Lepisosteus oculatus: one gene and its partners. The protein of the gene in region 1 binds, or shares a complex with, the protein of each later gene. Links are inferred from orthologs where the notes say so. Each region holds a gene or a part of one and is shown in the gene's direction. Other genes may lie near its edges.

Region 1 (7,150 bases):
AATGCGGTCGTAATGGATCTCGCTGCAGGGCCCGCAGGGGCCCGTGTCCCCCATCTCCCAGAAATTGTCCTTCATGCTTCCGGGCAGGATGCGGCTCTCCTCCATACTGGCGTGCGGGAGAAGGGAGGGGTGGCAGAGTGAAAGATGAGGGAAATAAAAACAGCGGGAAAGAACTCACCACACGAGTGCAAACCGCCTGCTGCACAAATTACAGATGAGTGACAGGACACAGGACGTGCTCACACCTGATGCTATTCCACATGTTCACAACCTAACAGCTACTGAAAGAAATCCCTCCACTACACAGCATTAACAAGAACAAAACACAGGCGAAAGGCTGAATCGCTCTTGCTCTGAAGGCCTCCATGCAGAAACAGCGGCCACTGCCACATTTAACAATTCAGACCTCTCCCCAGAAGAGCAAGAACCACCCGCCCAACAGGAAGGTGAAAAGAGCTGAAATGTCCAGCAGTGCCACACTCGTTCGCTAAAAACTAAAATACAGTTTCACATGAGAAACAGTCAGGGACATTTGCAATTTCCAGGGACGAGTCTGGAACTGTTAAACTGTCAGGGCTACCGGTTCAGATTTCAGTCAGAAAGGTTTGGAATATCGAAGAGCTTGCCAGTTTGCAAGTAGGTCAAACTGACCATTCCAGATCCAGTACACTCTGCTGTGTCTGGACAGCAGAGCTGAGACACCAGTCCATAAGACTCTGTAGACTCCTGCTACGTTAGACCATTATTTAATTCTGAGATGGGGGGGAGGGGGGATTTCTCTAGTTTTCACAGGAGTCCAGAAACTCAGTGTTTTGGTTTTTTTACACACATCTGAAAAGCTGCGCTGACAGAGAGGTGAGCTTTTGTCTTCAAGGAGAAATGTGATAAAGGGGAGCAAAATCCATCTACAAATTGTTTAAGTGCAGAATTTCACAAACAAAAAGACCTGAAAAAACACAGAGACAACAGGGAAAATCTTAAAAGACAAAGTTCCTCCTGTTCAACATCTTGATAAATGAGATTTTTGAAACTCTAGTAACTTATTATCACCAGATATGGTATAATTCATCTAGAATGCCCTGGATTGAGGTGCTATATTAGAAAAAAACTGACTGATCGCATTGACCGATACTGAATATGACGGACGCTGCTCCCTTTCTGGGCTGCCATCCCAGAAAGCTCACTTGGCAGAGCAGGAGGGTGGAAGAGGAGAGAGGGAGGCGTCGAGGAGACACTCACCCCAGGTCCAGCCAGATCTGCCTGCACTCCAGGTCCGGCTCCAGGCCCGCCTCCTCGTGCCCTCCGAAGTAAGTGACGTACAGACGTTCGATGGGGATCCCGAACTCCTTCGTCAGCAGCTCCAGGGCCATCTGGCACGCCAGGTGCTACAGCAGACAGACACAATCAGACTCATTCGGACAGCAGGGGGCCCTCCCAGCAGATCCTCTGCTGACAAACAGCTGTTTTTATTTTAAAAAAATAAAATTGGAAGGTGATTCAGTAAGAATCCCCCAAGACAAAGGGTTAAAGAAATAATGAATAAAAAAGAAGCCAGGAATGCCAAGGGAGGTGCAGTGGTTAGTGTTGTTGCCTGGCTGTGCTGGGGCCCTGGGCTCAGTTCTGGACCTGTACGTTCTCTCTGTGTTTGTGTGGGTTTCCTCCCACAGTCCAAAGACATGCTGGTGGGTTAACTGGTTTCTGGGAAACTGCCCCCGACGTGAGTGTGTGTGTCTGTGTGTGCCCTGCAATGGACTGGCGTCTAGTCCAGGGTGTGTTCTGCCTCGCACCCACTGACTGCTGGGAAAGACTCCAGTTTCCCATCGACCCTGAGCTGGATAAAGCTGCTAGAAAATGGATGGATGGAATAAACTAGAAACATTAGCAAAGCTGCAGCTTGGGGGTTCCAGACTGGGGCTCCCGGGGTGCGCCCCTCACCTTGAAGTAGTCCCCGAAGGACCAGGAGCCCAGCATCTCGAAGAAGGTGTGGTGGTAGACGTCCTTGCCCACGTCGTCCAGGTCGTTGTGCTTGCCGCCGGCGCGGATGCACTTCTGCGTGTTGGCAGCGCGGCGCAGCTTGGCCATGGGGTGGGCGGGGTCGATGGTGTTCAGGAAGATGGGCTTGAACTGCGCGGGGAGAGAGCGAGAGGGAGACTGAGGACAGGCCGCCGAGAGAGGGGACCAGAGCCAGAACGCGGGGGAGGAAGAACGAGAGTCCGCTCGTGCCAGAGAGGGACGCAGGCATGCCCCCTTCTCCAGTTGTGGGCGCCCTTGCAGAGCGAGGGGTTCCCAGACCCGGACGTGGGTGCTCAGTGACCGGGGGGACACCTGCCTGGTTCATGCCGGCGTTGGCGAAGAGCAGCGTGGGGTCATCCAGCGGGATGGTGGAGGAGGAGTGCACATACTGGTGCTCGTGCCTCTGGAAGAAGGCGATGAACCTCTCCCGGATCTGCGCGGCCGTCAGCGACGAGTCCATCGTGGAAGCAGCTTCTGGAAGGGCGGGACAGAGAGGGGCGCGCGGGGTCAGAGAGGGCGGCAGGCCTGCGCCCCCGGGGCATTCCCCAACCTGTCGGAACCTGTTCCCAGCAACAGCCCACCTGGGAACAGCTGGGCTGCAGCAAATCTCCCCAGACACAATAAAGACTAAACTGCCAAAGAATGACGTCACAGTCGAGCTCTTCGTCTGGATGCACACAAGCAGGGAGAAACGAGCGCTGCCTTCTTGCAAATAACTTATACCTGCTTCTCTCCTCAATGAACTTCAAGAGCACACGATAGTGCACGTTAACAGCGCAGCCTCGCTCCCTCTGAACTGCTCAAGCACTCACACCCCAGGTGACCCTGGCCTCCCTTACACCTTGCTCTCACGCACTTCAGTGACGAGCCGGCGAGCAACAGGCCTGCAGGCGGCACCTCGTCCACGCCTGTGCGGGCAGCTCTGCAGACACCCCCCCGCGAGGACTCGGCGGGGCTTTTAAAACACGCCGCGCTGTCACGTGATGCGACAGGGCACTGCATGGTTTTTACCCGCGGGGGGGTGTCCACGTTTCGCGAGTGTAGGCTTTGCAGAAAGTGTCCAAATCGTCACACCTCACCGCTGGAATCGATTCGATCGCGTCTTCAACCCGCCCGCCTCTACCCTGAGCTTCACCTCTGCAGCTTCCGAACAGCAAGACTGCGCTGAACCCCGCAAGGACTTGACTCTCGGCTCTTTATTCCTGTAGTGCATGCGCTACTTCTGAGAGCAAATATATGTACAATCACAGTAGTTACTTACGATAACACTGCCTTTTTTTTTTGTGGAGACGTGATAAGGAATAATGACGTCTGCACTTTTATTTGCTGAAACATATGACTGAATGATCATGTTTTCGTGGTGCCACAAAAACACCGCCGCTTCTGACAGCAGGCTTACGACGCAATCGAGCGTCGGACATTAATATCACGGTCACAAACACAAATTATATTGTATGCATCTTCTACCTGCACAGAACGATCCACCAGTTACGGAACAAAATGTCTCACATTCGCTCGTACTGTAACATCAGAAATAATCCATCAGAAACCTTTATGTGGGTTCAGACAAAAGAAATCAGATTTATAGAAGCTACGTTAGAGTCACCTGACCAAAATAACCCTCAACAACCAGGCAGAGCTCGTAATAGCTTATCATAATGATACATAATCAATAAAACCACACATATTAGGAACGAACACATAAAATCTAGCCTTTAATTCTCAAAAAAGAAGCACAATACAGTAGACATAACTCACATGTAGTCTGAAACCCTCCAATCTCCACACGCTCAGCAGACCACTGCCTCGCACCGGCAAAACCACACGCCTTACCCCTTTGCCCCGCCTTTCCCTGGTGGCCATTGGTTCGCTGCAGCAGGAAGTTAACTGTTTCTCGGTGCGGATTGGCTGCACGGGATGTCAGTCTTACGCAGAGGCACAAACCGGTTATTTTCGGCCGCGCGGAGACGCCGAGTGCGGCTGATGCAATTTATCCGTAAGTCGGCTCGTGTGGAAGAGCTGCAGCGCATAGCGCGTACTGCAGATCTGTCATTAACCCGGTGTGGCGCCCACGTACTCGGACTTTCAGGGCTTTATACAGCTGAAACACGAGTTTTTAAAAAGGCAGTGTTAATAACCTTCCATTCTAATGTTATGCATGTTCGTTGCATGCACATAGGTCTTGAAACAACAATAGTTTTAAGAAAATAACGCTCAGTATACAGTCTGTTTTTGCTTGTAGTCCTTAACACGCAGGGACACAACATGCAGAAAAAAATAGGGTGGGTACTGATCACGCTCCAAAGAGCTGGACAGCAATACTGCTGGCTTGTCGTGATCTCATCAGATCTCACAACCTCATCAGAGCTGGGCATGGCCAGTACTGGGGTGGGAGCCCTCTGAAGGAAACAGGTTGCTGCTGTAACAGGTGTTGGTACTCCAGCAGGAGGCGATCTTTCACCTGGCTCAAAGTATGCAAACCGATGCCCCAGTATGGTGACTGGCAGCACGGTGCTGTAGGACCCTCACATATGACCTTACACTAAGGCTTGGTCATGAAGGATCCCACAATAGGCCTCATAAGAGGGTGTCATCTTGGTGTCCTGTCTAATTTAATTTAGATCAGGGGCATCTCCAATCTGGCCTACCTACTGGTTAAGCAGTGGTCTTATTAGGGTACAGTGGTACAGTAGTTAGCTTTGCTATAGTGTAGTGCTTGGAGTCTGGGTTCCATTCCTGGGTGTGCTTCCTGTGTGGGTTTCCTCCCACAGTCCAAACACAAACTGGCAGCTTGGAAAGTTGGCCCTGGTGCGAGTGTGTCCTGCCTTGTATCCCTTGCTTGCCGGGATTAAAAAATACTTACATATATTAGAATAAAAAACTAAATCTTGTAAATGCCGTCTCTACATTTTATCATCTGTTGCCCTTTCTCGGGAAGTAACGTTGTGACGTCATACGAAAACGTTTTGCTCGTCAAAATTACTAACGGCCATGATCTCGAAAAGTCAGTATTTACAACAGAAACTCATACATCTAGAATAACTTAATATACTGCATGCCGTATCGGCGCGGAAAGGCAATTATATCCGGCGCACATCCCTCTCCTCCAAAACCTTCGTTCGGAGGTCTTTCCGTATCCCATGAACCTCTGCCCGCAGTGTACAGGAAGTGTAATCTACAAAAGACTATTGCGCACTGTTGTCTATGGTATTTCCACACCAGCCATGCCGGTGGATACCAAGCGAGTGAGGGGTCCAGATGAGTCTCAGTCTCCGTTACTTTTCGTCCTCCCGAGCACCAGGAAGCCTGAATGTCCGCAGGAAGGCAGGGAGGACGGGAGGCAGCGGAGCCAGGCCGACGTGCGGCCCGTATTTGCGCGATGCGGACTGATCAGCCAGGCAAAGGGGTCTGCCTACATCGAGGCGGGGAACACGAAGCTGATCTGCTCGGTGTACGGACCACGGGAGACCGACAGGAAGGACGAGGTGGACATGAAGTCCGGCAGGCTGGTGTGTGACTTTCGCTTCGCCCCGTTTTCGTGCCCGAAGAGGGGCTCCTGGATCCAGGGCAGCGAAGAGAAGGATCTGTCTCTGGGGATGCTGGAGAGCCTGCTGCCCGCAGCCTGTCTGCACAAGTACCCCCGCTCGCAGATCGAGGTCAACGTGGTGGCGCTGGAGCACGACGGCTCGGTTCTGGCCCACGCCGTCACCTGCGCCTCCCTGGCGCTGGCGGACGCCGGGATCGAGATGTACGACCTGGTCCTGGGCTGCGCGCTGAGGCAGGACGGGCCCTCCTTCCTCATCGACCCCACTTTCGCGGAGGAGAGCGGCGCCCAGTCCGCCGGGTCTGGAGAGAACCAGGGCAGGGTGACTGTGGCTCTGCTGCCCAGCCTCCACCAGGTGTCGGGGCTGCAGTCGGACGGGGAGATGGCGGAGGACACGCTGGTGGGGGCTGTGAAAGCCTGCATCGAGGGGTGCCAGCGCCTGTACCCCGTTATCCAGCAGGCCTTGGCGAGGGCTGTGCGGAGGAAAGCGCCTCCGACAGCCGTCTGAGGGCGAACTTGCTGGAGCTGCCGGACAGCGAGTGAACTTGAAGACGCGCTTCTTTCTGTCGGCGAAGCGTTTCTCAGAGACGAGATATTTATTTTTGTCATATACATCACGGACGATTTGTGCCGTCTGATTTTTCTATTAAACGTTCCTGTGAGTCAGTTCGTTTGCTTTTCCTTTTTCTTTTCCCGTGCGACAAACGCAAAACTGTATTTTGCAAAAACACTGAACACGTAGAAAGTGAGGATCCCTCGAGATCCAGTGACACCGACATCAGGGAATTATTCCCGACTCTGTTTTGTATGGATGTGTGTGTGTGTGGGAGTTGATCCTCCTGAATTGTCCAAAACTATTTTCATTCATAAAAACTTGATCGTTTATTCAGATACTTGTTTTCCTTTCAAATGGACACCTGACACACTTGAATGAAGCTCTTGAGTAAATCAGAAGTCTGTCTATCAAGAGACAGTTTTGTGTGTGTGCAGTGTGACTGGTTACAGACCCTGATCAACACTAATCTTGGACTCATGAAGGCTATTTTCTGTCAATGAGTCTACAAACTTGTTCACCATGGTCTTTGAAAGCAGAACTCCATGTTCAGTATTTCCTTTTAGATTTCTGAAAATGTTTTGCCAGTGTATACTTACAGGTGTGATTCAGAAATATTTTAGTTACCTCTTGAGTATATCTGCTCCAATAGCAGTAGTTAAAAGTACCCTCTTGAGACTATAACTAGATTCCAGTGATCAATTTGTTCTAAGGTAGAAGAGGATGGAATATATACCCAAAGAAAGTTGTAGTCAAATATAATATTTTAATGGCTTTTAGTATAAATGATAAAGTTTATAATTCACTGTATAAACAATTGTCACCTACAGTGATCAGAAGCATTAAAAAGTTATTTTTTACACACCAAAGAAAAGCTTTCAGAGACTTTTTAGAGACCACATTGAGATGCAAACAATTAATCTGCTCGATTCTATTCGCTGCGGCAGTTTTATGGTTTTATAGTGTACAGCTGTTAATATCCTCAGGCAAAAAAAGAAGAGTCTTGCAGCCTGTGTCTCTCACTGGGCTTTGGGCCGCAC
Region 2 (8,460 bases), on another chromosome or scaffold:
GAACCCCGCTTTTTGAAGCGTTAATGCTACGTTATTCCGAAATTAAGTCCCAGCGGCGGACTTTTAAGTCACATGGGTGCATGGTATGGCCAGTTTAGTTTCTTTTGTGGTGTTATACAATCTGCGCCACGATGACACTCCTAACCGCTACACAGCTCTAGAGGACGCCGCCGCTGTGCTCGATCGCAAGCTGCGTCAGAGGAGTCTGGATTTAGCAGGAGCCCTCTCACACGACGGTGCGATTAACGGCTGGGCGCCCGTTTCTCCCCTTGCAGACGATTTCCACCTGTGTGACGGCTCCTCCTCGTCCGCCTCCTCTTCCTCCTCCTCCTCCGCCTCCTCCTCCTCCTCGTCCTCCGCCGCCTCCAGCCGCATGCGCTGCGTCATCTGCCACCGCGGCTTCAACTCCCGCAGCAACCTGCGGTCGCACATGCGGATCCACACGCTGGACAAGCCCTTCGTCTGCCGCTTCTGCAACCGGCGCTTCAGCCAGTCCTCCACGCTGCGCAACCACGTCCGGCTCCACACGGGCGAGCGCCCCTACAAGTGCCACGTGTGCCAGAGCGCCTACTCGCAGCTGGCCGGGCTCCGGGCGCACCAGAAGAGCGCCCGGCACCGGCCCTCCGGCACCGGGGCCGTGGTCTCGCTGCAGGCCCACTCGCCCCCGCCGCCGCAGATGCCCCCCGTGCCTCACCCGGTGTCCCTGGCGCACCACATCCCCACCATGGTCCTGTGATGGCGGGGAGCCTGGGGACCCAGAGAAACAGGTCGCGAACCCCGGCGACACGCGGAGGCTTCGCTTTCTCCCGGCCTCCGCGTCGCCCTGGCCCCGCGTCTCGGTCGCACATGACCACGTTTTAACCTTGTGCGCATTGGCAGAAAGGGAAAGTAAACGCAAGCTCACCCGAAGGCCGGGCAGTGCTACGCGGCGGATGTGAACGCGGACAAGAGGCAGCTCCGAGAGACTCACGGACCGGCACGTTATTTCAGCGATGAGACCTCTCGCCGCCACCTGTAATCGTTGACTAGACGCGAGGAGTTCGGTTTCGCGCTGCCGCAAGCTTTGCGCATCAGCTTAAAGCGGACTTTTGAAAAACAGTAGTCGATTTAAGCACCGGTACAATTAATGGCAGGGGGGTGCGCTGTGCCTGAATTTTTTTCTCCCATGCTTTAGAAAGTGACAGCTGTGCTAAATACAGTATGTATGAAGGATTAGATGTTAGCTAAATTGCTCTCCTCTCTTTTGGAAACACAATGGAACCTGTCTATATGTCTTAACAAGAAAACTTTTTATAAAAACAACTGTCAGTCAAATTATGGATTGCAGTAGGTATGTCAAAGACATACTGTTTCTTAGAATACCTTGGGTATAAATGGGAAAATTGGTGGTATACTTCTTGTATACAAAATGTGCTACATTGTGTGAGAAAACAATGCTGTTTTGTTTAATGCATCCGGTTCTCTAGATCTTGTTCAGAATATGTTACTGTTTTAAAACAACACACACATTATAAGAACTTCTTCTATACCATAATGGTTACTGAAAAGATGAGAAATGACACACAGTGTTCGGCGAGCTGATGTGGTTTAAGTTTGTATTCAAACTGTTCTGATGGATGTTATCGTTCTCCGATGGCTCTCAGCTGCGATGCTCCTTTGCTTTTGTGTGGCTTGGTGCGCCCCTAGTGTCTCCACACCTGTATGAAACCCTTCCTGTACGGGAGAAAAAGAATCGTAAGAAACAGAAGATGTATATAAAATGATTAAAATATATATGAAATGTAAATATAATTTTAAAACTGTGCTATACTTCCACTAAATAGTCACTTTATGTATGTACATATTTATGTAAAACAGTATTTACAACACTTTGGTATTATATATTAATAGTATATGTATGCAGATGTAAATAACTTTGTACTTTTCATCTTGCATTCTAAATAAACTACTACATGCATAATTTTGTGTTCATGAAACACCCATGATTATTTCAATCTTTTTTTTTTAACATTCAGGTAAGTATTATTACTGTAACTCTTCAAAACCACCAATATGCACTCATTGCAGAACTCCTCTAAACATTTTCAGTGTTGGCTTATTGAAGCGCTAAGAGAAGATTATGAGCCAGGAAAGTAAGAAGATATGAAAGATGACAAAAGAAGCTGAGAGATTTGGCTCATCTGGTTCGTTTGGTTTCCAGTAGCTAATTATTGGAGGATCTCCTTCGGTTGTTTCTGAAAAGAACCCAGGGAGTTTGATATACCTGGGTAGCTTGTTCCATGCTTCTGCAACTGTTTGTGTATAGAGATGCCTCCTGTTCTCAGTCCCAATTGCACTTTCCTGTTGATTCCACTTGTGCCCTCTGTCTTATATTTCTTATGTTTATGTTTCAATCTGAACATGTCAGGTGTAGTCTTCACTTTTCAAGACTAAAAGGGTCCAGATCCTTCAGCCTGTCAGTGTAGTCATTTTAAGCTTGGTCCATGACAGGGCACACACACACACACGGAGAAAACCCATGCACACACGGGGAGAACATACAAGCTCCCCACAGACATCTCTCCAGGAACTCAACCCAAGTCTTCACTGCTGCAAGGCTGCAATGCTAATACTGACCCACCATGCCCTCCTAATCTTGATCCTGGTATTTGGATATTTTTCTCTGGATTGATTGCCAAACAGTAAAAACCTTTTCTCTCAGTGTTGTGATCGAAATCGAACACCGTAATCTAAACGTGGTCTTAGCAGTGCATTGTACCACTATATTTGATATGTGGTATATCGCCCTTTGCTTTTATATTGTCTTCTCATATTGCGTAGAGACCTGTGAAAATGTTATTCTTTTCTTGTCAAGGTCAACACAAACACAAGTCTCAAGGAATTCATTGAAGTGTCGATTAAAACTTAAAAACGGTTTCAAAACTCTTTCAAACTATCACAGAAAGACATCAGAAACCCAGATTATCCTGAAATTAGGATCACACCTTCTCCTTCTCTCACCGACAGACTCGTTTCCTTCCAGTCCTCTCTATTCATTTGCAGGCTTTGACTTCACACCTCTCTCGACTTTGCCCATCTTGGGCAGTGATACTGCTTCTCTCCTGCTCTTGCCTCCTGTCCACTCCCAGCTTCATCTCCTGCTGGCTTTCCTCTGTCCACCACACTAGAGGAAGGCACCACAGCCGAAACTTCACAGCATTGACTAAACCTTTACTTGTTCCTTTGCAGCCTACACATGCTGACGCCGCTGCCTATTTAAGACTTTAGATAATAATAATAATAATTAATAATAATAATAATACTTCTACTACTACTAATAATAATTGCTTACACTTATATACTTATAATAATAATCAGAATTGCTCAGACATGTAGGCCGACACCTTAGTATTTGGTATCATGTGAGTTTCACACAGTAAGCAAAATGTAACGTCCCATATAAAACAAAGAATATCATTCCTGGTAAATGAAACAGATACAATTATTATTCCAAAAAAATGTCCTTCCAAACTCACTTACGTTTCCCTAAGTGTCCACTAGAGGAGGCAGTAAATTCGCGATACTTTTTGTATTAATGGAATTGCTGGGATCTGTTATAATAATAATTAGTTATATTTATATAGCGCTGTTCTGGACACTCCACTCAAAAGCACTTTACAGGTAATGGGGATCCCCTCCACCCCCACCAGTGTGCAGCCCCACCTGGATGATGCACCAGTACGCTCCCCACACACCAGCTCTCAGTGGGGAGGAGAGCAGAGTGATGGAGCCAGTTCAGAGATGGGGATTATTAGGAGACCGTGACTGGTAAAGGCCAGGGGGAAATTTGGGGCCAGGACGCCGGGGTTACACCCCTATTCTTTTCGAGAAACGCCCTGGGATTTCTAATGACCACAGAGAGTCAGGACCTCGGTTTTTCGTTTCATCCGAAGGACCGCGCCTTTCTACAGTATAGTGTCCCCGTCACTATACTGGGGCATTAGGACCCACATGGACAGCGGGGTGAGCGCCCCCTGGTGGCCCCACTAACACCTCTTCCAGCAGCAATCCTAGTTTTTCCCGAGGAGGTGTTCTATCCAGGTACTGACCAGGCTCACCTGCTGAGCTTCAGTGGGGCTGCCCGTTGTGAGCTGCAGGCGAGAATTATTTTTTATTGTTATTATTTTTCCCTGACTTGTTGTTTTCTATACAGTGATCTATATAGATATAACTCACGTTATTAAATAAATATCTTGAATCAGTGAACAAGAAGATTCAGTTTTCAAGTTTATAATTCAGAAGTGATTTACTCAATTTCGCTGTTTTATTCTAACATCGACGTGTATTTGTAGATTTCTTTATTCACTCGAGTACGTAAAAAACTTACATAATACGTCCAGGTGATTAATTCATTAAAAGTTTATTGTGATGTAGTGCTGCACTGCATTTCGGTGCCCGGAGAGCGATGACGTCAACAATAAGCGCCGTGACGTGATCGAACAGAGCCGCGACCGTGTGCACACAGAGGAATTGAAGATGGCTGTTGATATCAGACTACCTAGTGGACGTAAACGGGTGACAGATTCTTTATCTGCAATCGAAGAAAAACATCTTGTAGCTCCAGGAGATGTCATTACTACAGACACTGGTTTCATGAGGTATTTGAAGGTTTTGTAATATTTTCCAGACTGTTCGCAGAGGCCTTTGTGAAGTTGATGTCTACGTACACGTGTATTCTCTGCAAAATAACAGGAATAAAGTTTGTTGTGTTAATTTTCGCCGAAATGTATGCAGATCTGTTTGAGTTAGTTTCTGCCTTGACCATACCTTTCAGCTGAATGAAAGCTGAGCAGTTAGGGTTGACATTACCTTTCTTTAATGTTGTCAGTGGGTTTAAGAGCATTTTAAGTAGCGCTGGCAGATTGACTGTTTTTTGGTTTTGAAAAACGGTCACCTAGGGTGGAGGAGATAAAAAACAGATGAAACCCTTAAACCTCATGTAAAGATTGGATTAACGAGCGGAGAAAACGCTATCTGGTTTAATGTAGAGGATTTCTCGCTTGTTGTTGTACACTCGTCCGGCAGATGTCGCTGATAAAACAACGGTGGAACGTTTCGAGTGTGCCGTTTAGTGTGGACTACGGTAGCTCAGTGAGATTAGAGATTGGGGTTTTATGTGCTGTTTCACATTGACTAGTTGTGCTCGGGATCCTTTACCTCCCTTAACTTCATCCTGAAATGTGGGAAGAGCTGTCGTGCGGTCCTGACGCAGCGTCGTTCACCAACAACACGGATCACAAGACGTTCCTCGGTGTAGGCGTTTGAAAGCAACCGTAGTATTGGTAAAATATTTTACATGTTCTCTCTCTTGGTGCTCCAGTCTCCTCCCACAGTTCAAAGACATGCTGGTAGGTGAGTTGGTGTCTAGTACGACTGTCCCTGGTGTGAGTGGGCATATGTTTGTGTCTGTGTGCCCTGTGAAGATCTGGTGTCCTGTCCTGGGTGTACCCTGCCTCTGCACTTCCGCATCCCTGAACTGGATGAAACAGATGGAAAAAAGGATTGATCTCTGAGTCTGCGCTCTGTCTCCCTGCAGGGGACATGGCACCTACATGGACGAAGAGAAGCTGACCGCCTCGGTGGCTGGAGAGGTGGAGAGGGTCAACAAGCTGATCTGTGTGAGACCCCTCAAGACGAGGTGAGCCCCGCCGGAGCGCCACGCCCGCGGTTTCTTAGGAGGGCGTGCTGCCGTCTTCGTGCCTTAGCTCTGGCGCGTGTCGGCGAGTTCGTGTCCGCAGACGACTCAAGACGTGGCCGCGGACATCTCCTTGGTGACCGTGAGCTTCACCTCCCTCCCCGGCTGGGGGCTGCGTGATGAAACGAGTGTTTTTCCAATCTGTGGTGGGGGCAGGGTCCAGATAAAGGGCGGCCTGGAACCCACCTGGTGCGTTCGCCAGCTCTTCTAGGCTCTAGGCAGAAACCCTTCCCTGTGTGCGTCTCGTCTTTGTGCCCAGGTTCAACGGCGAAGTCGGGGACGTGGTCGTCGGCCGGGTCACTGAGGTACGTGGCGGCGAGAGAAGGTGGGGTGTGCTGTGGTGAGCGGTGCTGGTGCACAGGAGCGCACAAGTGTGCACGGGTCCGTTTCACTCGCAGATCTTCCGCCGAATCGGTGGTCAACAAGCCGTCGGTGAGTAAGTTAATCTCGTGTCGAACGGACGCTTTATTGCAAAAAAAAGCCCGACGGGATAAAGGACAGGATGGTAGTGTGCCGAACAGGGCGATGCCCGCCATTTGCTTTGATCACCACTGCAGTTGTAGAAGGAATACCTTCCATAGCACGCCGGGGAGCCATTCAAATGAATACTGCGCCTTTCTTTTGCAGCTTCTGCTGTCCATAGTCTCTTCCTTATTTGCTCTTCTGGGTCTCATTTCTAAAGGCCATTTGGTAGGTTTTAGTTCAGGGCTGCAAGAAAGCTGTAATGTATTTTCATCACTCCTCTTTTTAAATCGCCATTATGTGATGCATCATCATGCATTCCGTCAGTACTGGGAGTCTAGTGCTGTCATGGTGCCCCTGGCTTTTACAGAAACCCATGTGCACAGACCTAACGATGGACTCCCATACCACCACACTGCAGCCTCCATGCTGAATAGTCAAAGTTATGAAGCACCTTAGACAGTCATCACTCGCAGATTTCTCCCATCGGAAGCAGGCGGCATGCAGTGGGACTCATTCTAAAAAACAGGCCCATCTGAATCACTGCCGTGCTTTCTGTGCGTTCCCATGCAAGACTGTAGCCTCGTGTGCGGATTCCTTGTCGCAGCAGCAGTTCTGTATGGACTTTAGGCATTCTCGCAACTTAATTTCAGCAGCTGGCCGTAACGGGAGCGCAGTGACTTTCCACTCACTCTCTTCGGAGCAGTGCAGGAAGACCTATTCAGAGGCCTTTTGCAGTAGTGTGCCTTGTATTGGCATTTAGAGTTGATTTTGTTCTTAAAGCGACTCGGCTAGTTAATCCCAGAAGTCTCGGAGGTTCCTGGGGTGACCTAGGGGCTGGGGTGTTCTGGGCGGAGATCAGCCCCACGGGGAGTAACGTCCGCCTGCCGGTCTCTGCAGGTTCAGCAGAAGCGGTGGAAGGTGGAGACGAACTCCCGGCTGGACTCCGTGCTGCTGCTGTCTTCAGTGAACCTCCCCGGGGGAGAGCTGGTAAGGCCAGGCGGCTGCCCCCAGCAGGAAGAGCGCCGGGGACTTGGCATGTCTCTGTCGCTGTGCAGGACTTGCCAGGAGATTGTTTTGTGGGAAAAAATACAATTTCCCTGGGAGTTTTACTATGCTACGGGCAGACAACAGAGATCGGTGTTGAATCCAAAAAGATGGGACACCAAGAGACCCAAGAGAGGTGTGGATGTACATGGCCTGCAGTTTTAATCTGCAGACCCACAGACCGAGCAGCAGATTTAAGTGGAAACCGGTGCAGCTCGGTGTGATCACACAGCAAGCAGAGGTAACGGGCTTGTATGGGTTACTGCTAAACCCTGGGCGAAGTACAACCTGCCCTACCCCTGTAGTGCTTGCATCACATTGTGCTGAGCTGACTGGGAATGATTGTCGCCGATGTCTGTTCATATACTCTGGAAATCTGCCACAAATGTACACAGGCTGCACTCTTCTGCAGCTGAGCTATTCAGGGGCACTGTAAAATATGAAATTAGCCTCCATGTGTGAAGGGAATGAGGCCTAACTGTTGGGTGTTTTTCAGAGAAGGAGATCGGCAGAAGATGAGCTGACCATGAGAGACTACCTGCAAGAAGGAGACCTGATCAGTGTATCCTTTCTTCTTCGGGAAATATAAGTAGCGCTGCAGGTGGGATGAAGTGATCGAGCCCGGCTTTGCCATCTGGTTGTGAGTGGAGAGGATCAGTACTCCCAGGCACGCGGTTACACTGTGTCCGCAGAGCAACGTGACCGATCAGCTCCTTGACTCAGTGCTGCGCAGGCAGAAGTGCAGTCAGTCTTTTCTGATGGGGCTCTTTCCCTCCACACACGCAGTCTGAAGTACGGCAAGGTGAGTGTCTTCTGAGCAGTCAAGCACTTTGTACTTTATTGAACACTCTACATATATAGTTTCTCTCTTACAGTGGGAACCGTCTCGAATTAGTCTCGTATTTAGTCCAGCTTAAAGAGACTGTAAAAAGTGAATGTAAAAGATTAAGTAATGCATTTGTTTTTAAATCACACCGACTGTACTGGATAAAATTGATTAAAATGGATAAGAATGTTTGCATGGACCTAGATTAATGCTCTCAATACTTCCGACTAGTCACCTGTGTCATTGCAGGTAAGCCTTTTATTGATTCAGACCTCACGCCGCTTTTGATAGCAAAGCCAAAACCGTTGTTAATGATAAAGACCAGAACACCCGGCTCTCTTTTTATTTTTATTTTTTTTTGCGCCTCCGTGTGTGAAGGTGATTGACCTTT
Region 3 (8,215 bases), on another chromosome or scaffold:
AGGACAATCAATTTCTTTCACTTTTTTTCTTTTCGTTTGTTGAGAGACAGGATCCTGATTTTCCCGGATCGGCTGCATTTTTGCAAAGACCGGTCTCAAAATGGCAGAACTAAATCTGGGGAAGAAAAAGGGGGCCTATTTCAGCTGAGTGTGCGTTACCTTTGCTGCTGTTGCTGCTGGCGTTCTGTGTTTAGGCTTGGCCTTTCCTTAATGTCTTTGCATTGGAGCACACATGCGAAAGAGCACTCCACTGCCCTTGTGCATACGACAGAATAACCTGGACTGAACTGTCACACTCGTCTCCCAGGAAGGCCACTCAGCTGTCATATCGTTGCACCAGGATGAGCCCACAGGAAGGACTGCAAGTGGCATCCCAGAACATGAGCAGTGAAGCAGCATGCAGTCAGGCTGTTAAAAAAATCACCACCAATGGCATCACACCGGGACCAGCAATCAAGTGCATCATTCTGCCTGTGCGCACCATGCTCGCCAATATACATCAGGGTGGGCAACGCAAACCGCGATTTATTGTGAAAGAGGCTGGTCTGTTCCTGCAACACCTTTGCCTTTGCGTCACTTGGGATTTCTTCATAACAACGGACGTTCACAAGGTTAAATCAGCTCGTCGCCTGTGCCCAATCAGCCCTCTCACTAATGAGGCGACTTCATGCTTATGAAAGCGTCAAAGTCACTTGAGTGAACCAGGGTCAGTCATTAATGACCAATTCATCAAAAATAAAACCGATATGCAAAACGAACATTCTTTCTCATTCTAGTAACATATAGAAATTGAACTATTGAACTTTGTTATGATATTCTATATCTCCCTCTTTAAAAAGCAGCCAGATTGTAAAGGTACTGTAGGTGCCTTTCTGTGAACCTACAAGGGACATATTTGTGTACTGTACACACAAAGGGAAGGGTATATGACTAAGAACTAGACTACGATAGTAGGTAAACACTAAGAACTAGAAATGCCAGACTACAATGTCACTTTCACCAAAGGGACAAATGTAATAGACAGAAAGGTAAATTATTTCTCAGGCCACAGTCACAAAAGAAGAAACACTATTATACGTACAACAATGGTACTGCAACAAAAAAAAACGACAACAAAATAAGATCACATTCTAATTCAAAACCAAATAAAAAACTAATGCATTCATCAGATGGGTTGGAATTCTTTCTTACCAACAGAAGAGGCAGATTCTTTTCAATAATTGATGATTTTAAACAATAATTTAAAATAAGCTCAATAATTCAAAGGGGGAAAAACTTAAAATGAAGATGACAGAGCAACCAGCAACATTAAAAAATACAGCCAACAGATGCAGTGTCAGAGCAGAATTTCTTAAATCAGGCTGAAACTATATCTTGATCGTCAAAAGAATTGTAACGTGAAACATGAATTCCTACGATCAACCTCGTCACAAAGAAGGGGGAGAGAGTGCGGTACTGACCACCACATTGTAAAAAACGTGATTAATAAGTAATATTACTAAGTTGCTATAGTAGAACTGCGGACGTTTCAAAGCCAGCAGCAGAACTCTCAAATGCTCCTCATAAAAGTAACTCAGTTCCTTAAATGTCAGAATCCCGGCTAATGCCAAACAATCATTACGAATAATAAGAGTTATACATCATCTAGAAATGATTAATTAGCAGACAGCAGTCTGTGCGAGGCTGGCTTCTTCAGGCTTTGAGAGACTCCAAGCACTATTCCCTTTGGCTAATGAACCAAGTTACCAAGTACTTCACACACACAAAAGCTTTTTTTCCCTGCAAGACCACAGGCCTTGTGCGACTATCAATGTCACTGTCCCGGAAACACGGCTCTTCTACAATTACAGTGAAGATTAATAATGCAAATAATCCAACAGCATTATAGGCAACTTTTCAAATTAAACAAAATCTATAAATTCACAATGTGCAATTGTGCAAATGTTTCCCTGTATTCAATAATGTACTTTGAAATTTACTATACATAATGCTGACCACATGGACACATTGCTATACATACAAAATTCTCAAAACCACTGCAGAGCGTTTTCTCTGGCATGCATTAAGTGTGCCGTGTGCAGGAAAATGTAGCGTTGGGGAACAAACCTTAAACTGTGCAGCACAATTTTGTAACGATGGGCAAAAGAAACGCAACACAGCTCTAAAACTGATCTAGTCACAAACCACAGAAAATGTGATGGGATCAAAGAAATGCAAAAGGTTTTTCAGACTAAAAGGTGAGAAAATGCCACAAAGTCAAAATGAAAATATTGCAAAGGAAGCAGTGGGAACAACTGTCCTGAGCAAATGATGCACGGACCTGATCAGCCTCTGCACAGTCCGCTGTGGGATGATCCGACACACCTCTGCAGCTGCTTCCAGCAGCTGGAAGTCAGCTGGTCACACCTGGCCGGAGCAACACTCAACACGAAGCTCACCATGTGGGCACCCCTCCATCGGGTTTGTCAAGAGTGAAACCGCCAGGTGAGTAAGACACTCTTAACACCCCCTCGGCTGCCACCTCGCGTGTTCTTTGGCACCTTCGGGAGACGATGCCTGAACAGCCTTCACACTCGCGGATCTTTTTCGTGCACGTGTGGAGCTACAACATCTGCCGATATGCTTGCAACGTCCTCCAGGATTTCCTCCAGTGACGGAGCCCCCCCAACCTGAAGACAGTCCCGCAATGGGACGCCACAGTCCCGGCCAGCGTGGTGCCCCCCTGCCTCTCGGGCTGTAGGCTGTCCCTCACAGAGCCAGTTTCCTGGTTTCTCTCAACTAGTGAGCTGCCAGCCCCATTCTCCTGCGGATCAGCTCTTCCTACAGCCTTCAATCATGCAGACGGCAACCAGAGGATCTTCACTTCTCCAGCAGGGCAGGGTCATATATCTCACTGTTCTTGCGTTAATTAAATCACGTTTATACAGGTTGCCAGCTCATCTTGATTCTTTTAACTCTTCACAAATACTAAACAGCAGGCCTTTTACTAAATCAAACGACTTGATAGTATTTCGCCCTCTCAACGAATACTACTCAATCAACAAATCATCTCAACTCTTAATTAAGATGTGAATAATATAGTGCACAAGCCCAGTGCGCTACCGTTATGAAAGTGGTACATTTTCATTGCACCCCTATACTTATTTGTAAAAAATCTATACTTTTAAAACACCAAGTGGAGGGTAAATCTTGTTATCCTGTAAGTTCGTGGGACTACTACTGAATGCATCGTGAATATTATTCACAAACAAATTACAGTAAGAAAATAGCACTCAAGTTTAAAAACTAGTTAGCATTGTGGACGTTTAGCATTGTGGAAGACGTTAGCAACATCAGCCTATATCACAGCAATGTGAAGACTCCCAGCACAAGATAAACACATTAAAATGACGTCTGCTGTAGTGGCATTCCATAAGGGTTCTGGGGGTAAACACACTGTACGATATCTCTGTTACACTTTCTACATTACTTGTAACATGGATCTGCTATGGTGATACACACTCCATCGCACCACAGATGGTGGCCAACCTGACACGACAAAAAGCTGCCGACTGACGAACTGGAAAGACCGCCAGCCATATCGCCGCAGTCACTCCTCTTCAAACTGGGAGGAATGCGCGAGTGGGGTGGACGCGACGATGTCTCCCCGAGACTGCCAACCTTTACGCTTCGAGATGAAACCGACGTCAAACCCGTCCACCTTCGCGGCATGGGCTCGACTTCCAAAGGCTATTTTGCGGTATCTCAGACAACGCTAGCGCTATTTTATAATGGGAGGAAACGCAGACTGGCCAAAGGTGGCATGTTTTTTTTTTTTTTTTTTTTAAACGAGCCGTCGTTTCAGCTACAGGAATCCAAACCACCGCCACTGTGCAAGATTTCGAGTTTAAGCCGAACAACTGGTCTGCACTCACCTTTCAAAGGACGAAGGGGGGTTGCACGTTTAAGGCACAGGCGGCCAGATGTTGTTTCCTTGTCAGAAACACCCGCGATGGAAAACCTAATGTCAGCTTCATACACTCGCTGCCTCCCGCTGCCAGCGCACCTTGGCGAACCGCGATGCGCGCCTCCCTTCTGAACCAAAGGCGCTGTGCGTGTGTCTTATCACGCAACTAACTGCCGGTTTGCCCGACCTACTCCTCCTTAACCCATAGATTAAGGTGGCTGCAGTTCCGCATCACCATGCCCCTGCTCGACGGTGCAGTCGGTAGGGTCCCTGTACTATCTGGAGAGCTCTGGCCAAGCCAATGCAAGCGAAAGTAACCAACCAGGAAGTGCGCCGTGTGCGTGAAGAGGCGACGCTTCCTGCGCCCCGAACTCCAGCTAAACAACACCCTTCCTTCCCGTTTTTTCAGTCACACCAGTGCGAAATCTTCCGAGGCGTCCTTCTTGGTATATTACCCCCCGGAGGCTGTTGAAAGGCAAAGGGCTGCCAGCATATGCAACAGTTTTTCCAAGTCCGCAAAAATCCTCACAGCATTGCGCAATCGGACCGACCTGGCGCGCCCCCCCCCGGCGTGTCGCAGTTTGATGAGGTAGCGGCTGTCCCGGCCACACGTGGTGCGGAGAAAACATGGCTACTGTGCAGATCAGCGAAGCAGAGAAGGTCTACATCGTGCATGGTGTTCGGGTGAGTTACCTTATAAAATTATACGAAATTGTGTTTTGCTGGGAGGGGGGTGGGTGTTCAATTTTGGTGTGTGAGTTTGTTAAGCGGGAGAAACGGAGCTTTAAATGCAAACCAACTTCTCTCTCGCCGTGAGAGTAACCTGTTTTCAGTGCTTATGTAGAAACCCAGTTGGTAATAAGCAGTCGGTAGCCGATTAACAACTTCACGCTGAAAGCGATTTTAGAAACCTGTTTGGAAAATAACGTGCACGATTTATTTTTGTATTTTTTTTAGGATGACCTGCGAGTGGATGGGCGGGGCTGTGAAGATTACAGACACATGGAGATTGAAACTGATGTAGTGTCCAACACCGACGGGTCCGCCAGAGTTAAACTGGTAAATAACACATCCGGTCTGCCTTCGTTCTAGAGGCAACGATGCAGCTGTGCGTCTCACTGTCTTCCCTGCGCTCAGACAAATGAGCTAAGTGACAAGGGGGTGTGTGTGTTCATGATAAAAATATGGAGGTTTCCATGTTTTTCATTGCTGCTTATGGGTAAATTGTTGATGAAGATATAACACTTCATTTAGAACACCACTGCGGAGATCTGAGTTATCCAGACAGAGTGACAAAAGAGAGTATTGTGCTCAGCCACATTCTCTACATCACATGTTGCTTCAGACTTCATTTAGCAGTGTATAAGCCTGTTTGCAGTGTGAGTTGAAATAGGATCCCAAGCTTTCTCAAGGGAATAAACCTTTACTTGCTCCTTCGCGGTGTGATGTTTATTTGGTTTCTCCAGGGGTACTCGGATATCCTTGTGGGAATCAAAGCAGAGATTGGCAGACCGAGGCCCATGGTGCCAGATGAAGGGTTTCTGGAGTTTTTTGTTGACTGGTAAGTTGTTTTTTATTCCAAACAGCAGTTTTCAGCACAGTACCACTGCTCTCACTGGGTCCTGTATGTTGCACAGATTGACAGTGCAAATTTAAAAAGTAAAAATAATTCACAATGTCTTGTGACAGTAGTAATATGAATTCTACACTGTACTTACAGTTACGACAGTTGAATATTAAAAAGTTCTAGAGTATTAACTCTTCAAAAGTGTATGATAAGTAGAAGGATGAATCTGAGTGTACCATAACTGAAAATACGTAGTTCTGCTTCAATTTTAAGAGCATACAGAGAGTCTTGCACAAGTATCCTGAAGGATTCCACATTTTATATCCGAGCTGGTAAACCTGACGCTTTCAAATTTGACTTTTTATTTTGAATCAACACAGACTATTCCTAAGTGATAAAGCGAAAAAAGAAATGCTGATAGTGTTACCAAAGTTATCTTTTCAATGAAAATGTCAAAATTCTCTGTTGCATTCAATACTCAAATTCTCTGCTGCACAGCTCAGGTGCAAATGATGAGTTTGAAATTTTGCTAAATTATTCTGATGTTTTTTTTCTGTGTGTAATCCAAGTAGTTTAACTTTACTTCAGAGAACATTTGTCTCTGTAAGCTTCCTCAGTTAGATATGGAATTTCGAGCCACAACACAGTTTTACTAGTGCAGTTGAGAAAAGCCAGCCGGTAGCAGTTGTCTCCTGTGGTGGTCTATAAGACTGAAAACCCCTTTTCTGAAGCGTCAGCTGTTAGGCCTTAGTGCTGACACAAAGGCGTACCAGGATGTGTTTATTTTGATTTTGGATCAAAACAGTTGTCATTTAAGAACCACTCCACTGAATACACTTCGTATACACAACCAGTAGGTGGAGGTAAAGGATTAAAAATGGATTTTTTTTGCCTTTGCTGAAAGTCTTTGAAACAGAATTTTGGTTTTTAATGTCAACAGACATGTTTTCTCTCACTCTGAGGACCGGTAATCAATGGTTTTCAGATTAACTCTGAATTTCTTTAGGCAGAGGGTGAAGTGACAAATATTTAATCACAACAATACATTTTCTAATGTTGGGAGTGTATTCTGAGTTCAGTTCCAACACTGATGATAAAGCTGATTATTCCTGGTGAGGCTGACCCAGAGGACTTCCGTGTTGCTTAGATAGAATCAGGATTATATCCTGGACAGCGAGCTAGTCTCGAGAGAGAGGCGCGCGCTCACTCCTGCACACATACACATAGAACCCAGAGACACCTTGTCGCCTTGTCTGTGGGCATCCAGAGGAAAGTGGAGCACCTGGGCACAATCAATGTGAACACCTGCAAAGCTTGCAGAACCAAATAGAAGCTGCCCCAGGCCAGGATCAACCCTAGAGTCCTAGAGCTGTCAGTCCTCACTGCTGTGCTGCCCAGCACAGAGAAATCCGTCTCTTCAAACCTCTGCTCCACATCTTGTCTTGCACGCTGGGAAAGGACAAGAGGGGAAAGCAAAGTAGAGTCACTTTGAGAACATAGAAGGTTAACGATGCTATAGTAGCAGATAGTGGTTGTTGCAATATTGGTAAGTCCATTTTGTACGCAACTGTTTTGTCTTTTCCTGAAATCTCCAGGATTTAAGGGCTGGTTCGAGCTACAAATCTTCACGTGTTTTTGAAAACTTGCTCCTCAGCTCGGCAAACGCAACCCCAGAGTTTGAAGGGCGAGGGGGAGAAGACCTCGGCACCGAGATCAGTAACACGCTGTACAAGGTGTTCAACAACCGCCACAGCGTTGACCTGCGGGCGCTCTGTATCAGCCCCAAGGAGCACTGCTGGATTCTGTATGTGGATGTGCTGGTGAGTACGTCCGCTCCAGAGCCTCGGAAATTCAGTGCGTAGCATTGCACCTCTTTATAAGAGGTTTAAAGATACACTGCCTTTATTTTTCGTCTCTCAAGGAGAGGGAGTTATAGTTGGTAATTTCTTTCCCTGATTTAAATATTCGTCTTTGCAGGGTATTCCGATGTTTTTTTTTTCAGTCATTCCTAAAGTGGTGTGCATTTGCAGTGGTCAAACTTGACTTGTTTCTGCCGCTGTAAACATGAGTTTTAGGGTGGAGACTCATAAAAACCTCTTTATGCACAAATGAATAGAACTGTTGTAAGAGTTTATTCTAATGCCAGGTGCTGCATCTGAAAGCTCCTTCTAATGTTTGCTTTCCAGCTGCTGCAATGTGATGGAAACCTGTATGATGCCATCTCTGTAGCAGTTAAAGCAGCCCTCTTTAACACACGGTAAGGCAATGCATGTGTTCCAGTTGTAATGTCAGCGGTTTGTGAAGACGTGCATGGTTGTGCCAAAGATAAGTTTTTATGAGTTGACCTCTCATGTCATAGTAATACTTAGGCTATTCCTAAATGATATGTAAAGTCTAGGTTTGTAATACGCGAGTAATAATAATAATAATAATAATAATAATTGCTTATACTTATATAGCGCTTTTTCTGGACACTCCACTCAAAGCGCTTTACAGGTAATGGGGACTCCCCTCCACCACCACCAATGTGCAGCATCCACCTGGATGAGTACAGTGTTTAAACTGATGAAAAAGAAATTACATTTCTAAAATAGAAAAATCGTCAATCCCATTATTGATTGAGAATAGATTTCTTCCCCTCAGCCTCTCAAGTTACTGGTTCCATGTAGTTCTTAATGAGCTTCCACATGATAAGGTTTCAG
Region 4 (8,194 bases), on another chromosome or scaffold:
CTTTTCTTCTCCTGCGTTTTGGCAGATTTTCTTTGCTTAGTGTTCATGTTGGCACCAATTTACTGCCCGGTTTGACTTTTGTGCTGCTGGAGGGTTAGTGTACTGCAGGAATGTGCAGTGGTCAAGTATCAAAGTTCAGCCAGACGTCACAAAGACAACAGGCAGTGGTGATGGGGGCAGGGGGCTCAGGCTTGTGGAAATGTGGAGCTGGAGTGTTGGCATACGGTGTCACTGCGCTCAAAATGTTGTATGTCATAGCACGAGACTGGAACTGTTTGACATTATTATTAGCTTTTAAAGAATTATTTTTTACCAGAACAGTTTGACTTGCTGTGAAATATTTCTTTTTAACAACTGAAGTGAAAGAAAAAAAAAACTATTCAATGAGCCTTAAGGACTTATAACTGAACTGAAGCTGATACATTTGTTTTCAAACATGACAACACACCAGAGTCAGTTTAGCTGTAGCAGAGGCAGACTGAGATTGCCGGTATTCTCTGATTTATTATTACAGGTGCTCTGTTCGAGCACTGAATCTGAATTCTTCTTATTTTCAGGCTGTCTATTTATAGTCCTTAAACGGTGCTCGGTATTGTAATGAAGTTTGAGTTTCAGCATCACAGCCAGAATGTTTCTTGGCAGTTTCTGTCAGCCAAGGCCAGAGTTCTAATTCATTGTCTACTATATCTTCTGGAAACTAGCCCTTCTGAAGCACGGGTCTCCACAAAATACCATCACCGGACCTGTCCTCTGCTTTTTTAGCAACGAACGTGCGTACTGATGTTTACCTTCTTTTCTAACCTTGACTCTTCAGTCCAGCCCTGGGCCTGCTGTAAATCACTCCTTCAGTGTACCATTATACGAGCACCCAGAGAGACCTTGTGTTTCCCTGCTTCCGGCAGGACCGTCGCTATGCTGACCTGACGGAGGACCAGCTGCCCTCCTGCGAGAGCCTGAAGGACACCATCGCCCGAGCTCTCCCCTTCTGGAACGAGGAGATAGTCCCGCAGATCAAGGAGGGCAAGAGGGTCCTGATCGCTGCCCATGGCAACAGCCTGAGGGGCATCGTCAAGCACCTAGAGGGTATGTACCCGCCGAGGACGCTCTGTTTTTAGGGCAGGGTTTCAATATTATGGCAGCTACATTTCATTTAACCTATTTTCCCATTAATCTTGTGGCACCAAAACTGGTACTTTATTTCTGATGTTCTCGTAATGCCTGACTGGCCTCGGGATTTGTTTTCGACCTGCCGCCGGCCGAGCTGTTCCGGCGGCGCGGCGGTGGTGGCAGGATGCCATTACTCAGGCTGCTCTTGTGTCGACAGGCATGTCGGAGGAGGCCATCATGGAGCTGAACCTCCCCACGGGCATCCCCATCCTGTACGAGCTGGACAAGAACCTGAAGCCCGTGAAGCCCATGCAGTTCCTGGGCGACGAGGAGACTGTCCGCAAGGCCATGGAGGCGGTGGCTGCCCAGGGCAAGGCCAAGAAGTAAAAAGAAAGCCTCCTGTGCACGAACGCTGGAGGCTCCTGGCAGGGGGGCGCTGTGCCACTGCTCTCGGAGGACACACGCAAACCTCCCTTCTACACCACACATCACAAGTTTCATTCCCGGCGCTCGCTCAGGTCATTTAGCATTGTCCTTCTCTTACTTTCTTTCTGATACAGGACAGTTGGAGGGTTTCTTCAAGGTAACAAGCAAGAAGAGCGGGCTTGTTAAATTTGTCATACGCGAAGATGGACAGGGTAGGATGAGGAGAATGTTAAAGACTAATGTAGACCAAAGCTCAAACAAGGGACCAGTAGCTCAGTCAAACAGTTTCTTGACCTGCAATATCTGACTCCTAGCTTCTTCATTCGAAAAAGGTCATTGATAATCCTTACAGTTTGTTTAAGCGTTCATGAACAAATTCGTTTTACATATGAAGCTTTGTTTATGCCATTAAAGAATTTGACAACTTTTCAAAGGGAACCCTTGGCCCAGTTTAAAAGGGAAGTCAGACTTTTCATTTTGTCTCCTGTATAAGTAAATATGCAACAGGGAAAACAAAATTTGGACACAAAGCTTTATTATTGCTGGATAAAGCTGGAATGTGCCCTGTAATTCATTCTCACAGGTTTACTTTTCACAGCAACTTCTGTGTGCGCTGTAGTCATTCCGATGTCGCACATTTTGAGGTTTTGGGTTACAGACCGGCACACGAGGAGCAATGCTTTTGCATTCGATTCATTCCACGATCCCTGTTGTCAGCTCCTGAGAGCTGTTGCCACCTGGGCACCTCTGCCTCCCTCCCTCCCTCCCTCCCGTCACATGCTGGTATGTCTGTAGTTTTCACCATTGTGACGCTGTTTGTGTGTAGGTTTCCTGCCAGTTTCCCGTGAGGAGTGGGCTCTGCAGCTTGAGCGCATACAAGCGAGAAATAAGGAGCCCCTGTCTCTGAACCCAGTGTAACATCGAGTGTGAATCCGTCACCTATAGCACCTACAGTGAGAGCCAGTGAATCTGCTTTGTGTACAAGGCCTTTCCATACACAGTAACAGATTCTGCTTCAAATAAAAGGGCTGCTGAGGTAGGACACGAACTAACACATTTCTCCAGTTTGTCTTCCTCTACCGAAGACCCAGTCTAAATCTTGATGTTTTGATTGTTAGTTCTGTCTTGAATCTTGGCTTTGGAGAGGAGTATAAGCAGCCAGTTACTGCAGCATTCTTCGGTTCTGCAGGTGAAAGCCCCTGTTCCTCAGTTTGTATGTGTGCAGGATACTCTGCCCCTGCTCTTCACATGAGTGTTCATGTGGCTTTGCTGCCAGTGGTTCTTCAGAGAGCTTCAGTTTGATTAGGGTTTATTGCAATGCACTGTTTTGATGTACACTGAACCCCTTGTGTAAAACAAATAAATCCTATGATGTGCAGTATTGTATTGACTTTTGTCCCTTATTTTCACTTATCTCATAAAATGATGTTTATGATTTTTTTCTTTTGCACTTCCATATACTCCTGTTAAGCTATATAAAAATGTGAAAATTTCTAGTTGAAATAAGATTTAAACATACATTGAAATCTGATCTGTAGTCTTCATAAATACCACATCACTAATAGTATCATTCCATACTTGCCAGAGAAACCTATTTGTTGGAAGAATTAAAATAATTGTTGGAGATATTCTCTGCTAAGGTCTTGAGTGCTCCTGTAAGGTGCTTTTCAACAGGGAGAAGTGTGGTCAGAGTGCCCTCTGCTGGACATAATTCATCCTGTGTTTTAAACGCGTCCTCAAAAACGCTGGCATTACAGTATTTACCATGAAACCTATGAAAGTAAAATTAGTTATGCTCTGGTGTGTTTCCTGAGAGGACTGATGAAGATGGGGTCTGAGATCCATGGAGCTCGTACACGGTTAGGTAATGCACAGGACATATGTAAAATACTAAAATAGGAAAATATTTAAAAAATGGATTGGATGGATTGAACTGTATTCTATCCTTTGCAAAGTTTAGCTGTAAAGAAACAAAGGGTAATTGGGATGCACATCTATTATCCAGAAGAGCGGAGTGGAAGAAGTAAACGGTTATACAGGTGTTCACAAATGGGGGAATTAAACATTTGCTTTAGGTGAAATTACCATCTTGGTTGTAAACGATTTAATCCGGCGATAAATTAAGGAGGTGTCTGACGTTCAAACTACATGTGGACCAGACCCGCTTTTCTGAAAAAGTATTTCGAATAACACTTGGAGTACAGGGTACCCTGCCTGTTTGGAAAATCACAAATGTAATTACCATTCATACCAAAACGGGGACAAAATTGAATTAAGGAATTATAGACAGGTCAGCTTCTCAGCCACGTCTAAAGTAGTGTAAGTTTAACTAGAGTAGAGGAGCACATAAAGAAAAATGCAATCCTGAAAATAATTTTAGACAGAAGATAGTGAACAGACAAGTGGACGACCGTGACGGGACTGCTCGATTACATGGAGGTATCCGTGACTACTGCTCTCAAAATGTAGACTACATAAAATGCATTTGTGCTTCCAGAACGTTTTTGAAAAATGACACATGAAAGTGATTTAAGCCTGTCAGAGCAGAACTTTCCTTTAAGGTAAAAACATTCATAAAGCCTGCATAGATAGATCTTTAAAGGTGATACTCTTCTGCTCGTCACGATCTCCGCTTTTAAAACAACTGTACATTTAGGCACAGGTAGAGGTTTATTCCATGTTGAAAGGAAAAGAAAAGAGACGCAACGTTTCGGCCGTGTAGTCTTCAGGTGTGGCTTTAACAATATCACACCTGAAGAAGGCTCCACAGCCGAACCGTAATGTTTCCGCGTGGAATATACGTTTACTTGCCCCTTTGCAGCCTACGCATTCTGAAGCAGCTACGTACTCGAACTGTACAATTACAGGTGGGATTTTACTCCATGTTTTCTGTTAACTGGTGTATTCAGATTAACATAACTTGCAATACAACAAAATGTAGCCATGGTAAAATTAAAAGCACATCATAGACTCGCAATCAGGTCACAGGTCTCTTACTCGACCGGAAGTCAGTAACACTGAACCACTAAAAAAGCTTAATCTAGAACAGCCGTTCTTAGCTTTGGCCAATCAGATGACTCGTTGCTTCTGCCGTGTGGGCCAATCAGAGCATTTCTTATTCTATTCTGAAAACATGTCTCCTAAGACGCTGTGTGTGCCAGGTACGTGGGGTTTAAAAACGTTATGTGAAATAAAATGTATTTAATGACTGAATCGTCTGGACCTGACAGCAGTTAATACACACATGGATACATTTTGACTGCAGGGTTTCACTTTCTTGTCTTGTATTGATTCTTAGTTCATTCACCAAATGTTGTGTGAGTTTTTAAAGTAAAAATCATAGTAATTCTTAAAAGTTTGAAAATGATCCCCTGACTGAGCCACATTGTTTAATATAACACTTTTTTGTCAGTAAGGGTAGGTCTCTCGGGGCAACAGAGGTTATAGCACATTTCGTTGCTGTTTTCGGTAGCTGTATTCATAAAGTGATGCCAGAAACTGAGTATGGGTATACCTGTCTTGCAGAACAACTTTGCAATTGAATGATAAATTAAAAGTCGTATTGAAAGGACTCGGTGTATGGTGAGGTATAACATTAGAAACAGTAGCAGTATCAAAGCAATCCATCAGGAGCCAAACACTTAAACCTAGTATAGTTTGTAAAGTTAACCTCGCTTTACCGACAGTTACATCATCCTGACGAAATTCGTGTCTTAGGTACGTCGTAGAGACTATTTTTGAAGCTTAACGCCATTTATAAAGTAGACATTTAAACCATTAAGCCACGTCTTCTGACCCCGTCCTTATTAAAGTTGGCACTTGAAAGTTGTTATTTTCAAGTGATGCTGACAGTATAAACAGCATTGTTTGATTGTTCTGTTGCTCTGGGGCTGGACTTTGAGCAGTGGTTGCCTGTAAATATTGTCGTCCCGCAGGAGAGAGGCTGTGCAGCACAGAGGAGTGTGTCCCGGGGCCTGGAACGTACTTGCGTCATGGCTACATCTTTGCCTCCCTCGCTGGTTATGTGCTGAGGAAGAACGCGGGAGAGGAGGTGGGTGAGAGTGTGGAAGAATTGTACTTCCTCCAAGTGCATCTCCTAAGTGTGGAAGGAAGTGTTGCGTGTGCAGAGGAAAATGGTTTAAAATATACCAGAAAGATCTGTAAATGGTCATTGAAACTGGATTGTGCATTTGTGATGGTGCAAGAGTACTGTTCTAGCAATGGGAGATTTGTCTTGGCTGTTGTGTTCTGCAGATGCCTGTGGTCTCGGTGGTGAAGGAGAGTGAGGCTCAGCTGCTGCCTGATGTTGGCGCTACAGTCACATGCAAGGTAGGAGCTCTGTCCTCCAGGGTGTTTTACACAGAAGTATGAAGTTCTCTGTCCTAACATCCCTCGGTTTGCTCTGTGCTGCACAGGCATAGCAATACTAACATAAGCCTACCTCACTGTTTTTTTGGTCATTTGTATTTTGGTATTATTGTTTTTTTTGCCACCCTAGACTAATAATATCTTAAGTTGTAGATAATAGCCGAAAATTCCTATTATAGATGTGAAGTGCCAGTGAAACAGAATGTCATTTTTGTCCTGGTGATTGTGGAGTTAGTGTTATGAAAGAGGCTTGGTCAACATTATAGTTCCAGGGGAGTGAAGGTCTTTTGCCAACAGGTTACAAGCATCAACCCACGATTTGCTAAGGTCCAGATCCTCTATGTTGGATCCACCCCACTGAAGGACAGATTCAGAGGAACAATCAGGTAACTAGAGCAATGACATTTCAAGTAACATGTCTCAAATTATATTTTAGCATATACTTTTATTTACTTTGTAAATACCCTAATAATGCATAACATATGTGTTGTTCTTGTGATACATTTTTCTCACTGACCCGTCCATGGCTGTCTCCTTGCAATGCTATGTGAGAGTTAATAATTTTTATGGACAAATTGAGTTTTTGTATGTAATTTCACAATTGAATTTTCCATTCATAGTGAACTTATATTCTGTTCTATTAGTGAGTGAAATGTGAAAAATCCACATCACACGGACAGGTTTTGTGTGTATGACCATAATTTCTGAATATTTATTATGCATTTTTTGTCCTTAGAAAACACTGTTGTTTCATTGTCAACTGCTGTATTTGAACTGTTAGTCTAAAAACAATTTGCATTTATTTTTGGTGCTTGGAGACTCTACTGAATAATTTCCATCGGTCCATGTGTTTTTTCATTCAAGTCTTGCCAATTCTTCTTGCCTGTTTGCATCATGTTAACACAATGCACAAAGTCTTGGGCTAACGATTTAAACAACTACAACAAATAAATAAACGTTCTATACATGTGAGCTTTGTAGTTATAAGTTTACAGACATAAATGTAACTATATGAAAACAGATGAAAATAGCCAGGACATTAAGGCTAAAGCCCAGGTTGAGGAAGAAAGCTGGTCCCTGTCATCACAAAGGTGGTAAAATGCCGCTGTCATGTACGACAGAGTAGTGCTGCTTATTTTTTGGCACAGTATAAGGCAAATTCCCATGTGACCCTGAATTAAAATATTTCTAAGCAATACTGAACTGATGGAAAGTTGAAAGACGCTGGCGTCTCATGTTTCTGTGAGTGTGATGCATTTAGGTATTTTTGGTACAGAATCTAAATTTCTAATACTTTTTTTTGTAGAAAGGAAGATGTGAGAGCTACAGAAAAGGACAAGGTATTATTTTCAAATTGACTTGCAGTGCATTGATATCCAATAAGTGCCTTTATTTCCGGTTTCCCAATCCCATGACCTGTAAATTTACTCTTTATCAGGTGGAGATCTACAAGAGTTTCCGACCAGGAGATATCGTTCTAGCCAAAGTTGTATCCTTTGTAGATGCTGAAGGGCAGACAACAGCCCTCTGTTGCTCGACACCTTTCTGATGCTTCTAAAAAACATTAACAAGAGCTGCGCGTTTGCCGATGGGTTCATCGGCAGTCAGCGCACGCTGCATGCAGTGCAGCTTTTAGCGGTATTGTGAATAAAGGGCTCAATGGAGATGTAAAGCTTGAGTAGTAATAAGTCTGACCTGTATGTCTGTACAAAATGTTCTGAATAATGTCTTGTGCTGTTAAGTTCTAGATCCAGGCTTGAGCCTCTCGGTTACCACAGCACAGTGATTCCAGTTCTGTCTGACCTGTGTTGCCCTTGACCACTAGGCAGATCTCCCTAGGTGATGTCCAGTCCAACTATCTTCTCACCACAGCGGAGAATGAGCTGGGAGTGGTGGTAGCACATAGTGAAGCAGGTGAGTATGTTTTCAAAGGACCTGCATTGCTGACTTTGAACTGATTCTTACCTGCACGGATGAATCACATTCCAGTTTTGCAAATTGTGCGTTTTGACTGAATAGAATAGAATGGTGTTCTGAATTGTTGAGGGAGAGAATACCATGAATATAATCTTTCAGTTGGCCTTAGGACTCTGCATGCAGATTTCAGAAGATGTCTGCATTTCTCATAGTGCCCCAAATTACAACAGTATTGCATAGGGTTTTGAAGTCCTGGTCAAGACATGGTTACCCCTCTGTTATTACTGTGACTGGGGATTTAGTGACCATTATCGATCACATTGTAATCATACAAAATGCTCCCATTTATGGCACTGTGGCTGTTCCTGATAATGTT

What was found.
Region 2: exosc6 (region 1) and exosc2 share a complex: the UniProt entries of both Homo sapiens proteins name them as parts of the RNA exosome core complex. The link is inferred for Lepisosteus oculatus from reciprocal best matches to the Homo sapiens genes EXOSC6 and EXOSC2.
Region 3: exosc6 (region 1) and exosc7 share a complex: the UniProt entries of both Homo sapiens proteins name them as parts of the RNA exosome core complex. The link is inferred for Lepisosteus oculatus from reciprocal best matches to the Homo sapiens genes EXOSC6 and EXOSC7.
Region 4: exosc6 (region 1) and exosc1 share a complex: the UniProt entries of both Homo sapiens proteins name them as parts of the RNA exosome core complex. The link is inferred for Lepisosteus oculatus from reciprocal best matches to the Homo sapiens genes EXOSC6 and EXOSC1.

What each region holds. Positions count from the first base shown.
Region 1 is NC_090715.1:1,374,053-1,381,202, reverse strand, and holds exosc6 (exosome complex component MTR3), read left to right. Parts: upstream 1-5,195; 5' UTR 5,196-5,237; coding exon 5,238-6,065; 3' UTR 6,066-6,223; downstream 6,224-7,150. Other genes in the region: aars1 (alanine--tRNA ligase, cytoplasmic), read right to left, coding at 1-106, 1,240-1,385, 1,936-2,124, 2,330-2,473; protein-glutamine gamma-glutamyltransferase 2-like, read right to left, coding at 7,130-7,150. UniProt on the Homo sapiens protein: Non-catalytic component of the RNA exosome complex which has 3'->5' exoribonuclease activity and participates in a multitude of cellular RNA processing and degradation events.
Region 2 is NC_090719.1:14,545,782-14,554,241, forward strand, and holds the start of exosc2 (exosome complex component RRP4), read left to right. Parts: upstream 1-4,471; 5' UTR 4,472-4,515; coding exon 4,516-4,637; intron 4,638-5,575; coding exon 5,576-5,677; intron 5,678-5,993; coding exon 5,994-6,039; intron 6,040-7,096; coding exon 7,097-7,186; intron 7,187-7,739; coding exon 7,740-7,805; intron 7,806-7,976; coding exon 7,977-8,045; intron 8,046-8,460. Other genes in the region: prdm12b (PR domain zinc finger protein 12b), read left to right, coding at 156-736. UniProt on the Homo sapiens protein: Non-catalytic component of the RNA exosome complex which has 3'->5' exoribonuclease activity and participates in a multitude of cellular RNA processing and degradation events.
Region 3 is NC_090705.1:41,382,878-41,391,092, forward strand, and holds the start of exosc7 (exosome complex component RRP42), read left to right. Parts: upstream 1-4,476; 5' UTR 4,477-4,573; coding exon 4,574-4,630; intron 4,631-4,903; coding exon 4,904-5,005; intron 5,006-5,412; coding exon 5,413-5,507; intron 5,508-7,167; coding exon 7,168-7,333; intron 7,334-7,699; coding exon 7,700-7,770; intron 7,771-8,215. UniProt on the Homo sapiens protein: Non-catalytic component of the RNA exosome complex which has 3'->5' exoribonuclease activity and participates in a multitude of cellular RNA processing and degradation events.
Region 4 is NC_090699.1:16,729,140-16,737,333, forward strand, and holds the start of exosc1 (exosome complex component CSL4), read left to right. Parts: upstream 1-4,614; 5' UTR 4,615-4,666; coding exon 4,667-4,694; intron 4,695-5,468; coding exon 5,469-5,584; intron 5,585-5,787; coding exon 5,788-5,862; intron 5,863-6,198; coding exon 6,199-6,287; intron 6,288-7,207; coding exon 7,208-7,241; intron 7,242-7,339; coding exon 7,340-7,390; intron 7,391-7,730; coding exon 7,731-7,815; intron 7,816-8,194. Other genes in the region: phosphoglycerate mutase 1, read left to right, coding at 903-1,083, 1,325-1,494. UniProt on the Homo sapiens protein: Non-catalytic component of the RNA exosome complex which has 3'->5' exoribonuclease activity and participates in a multitude of cellular RNA processing and degradation events.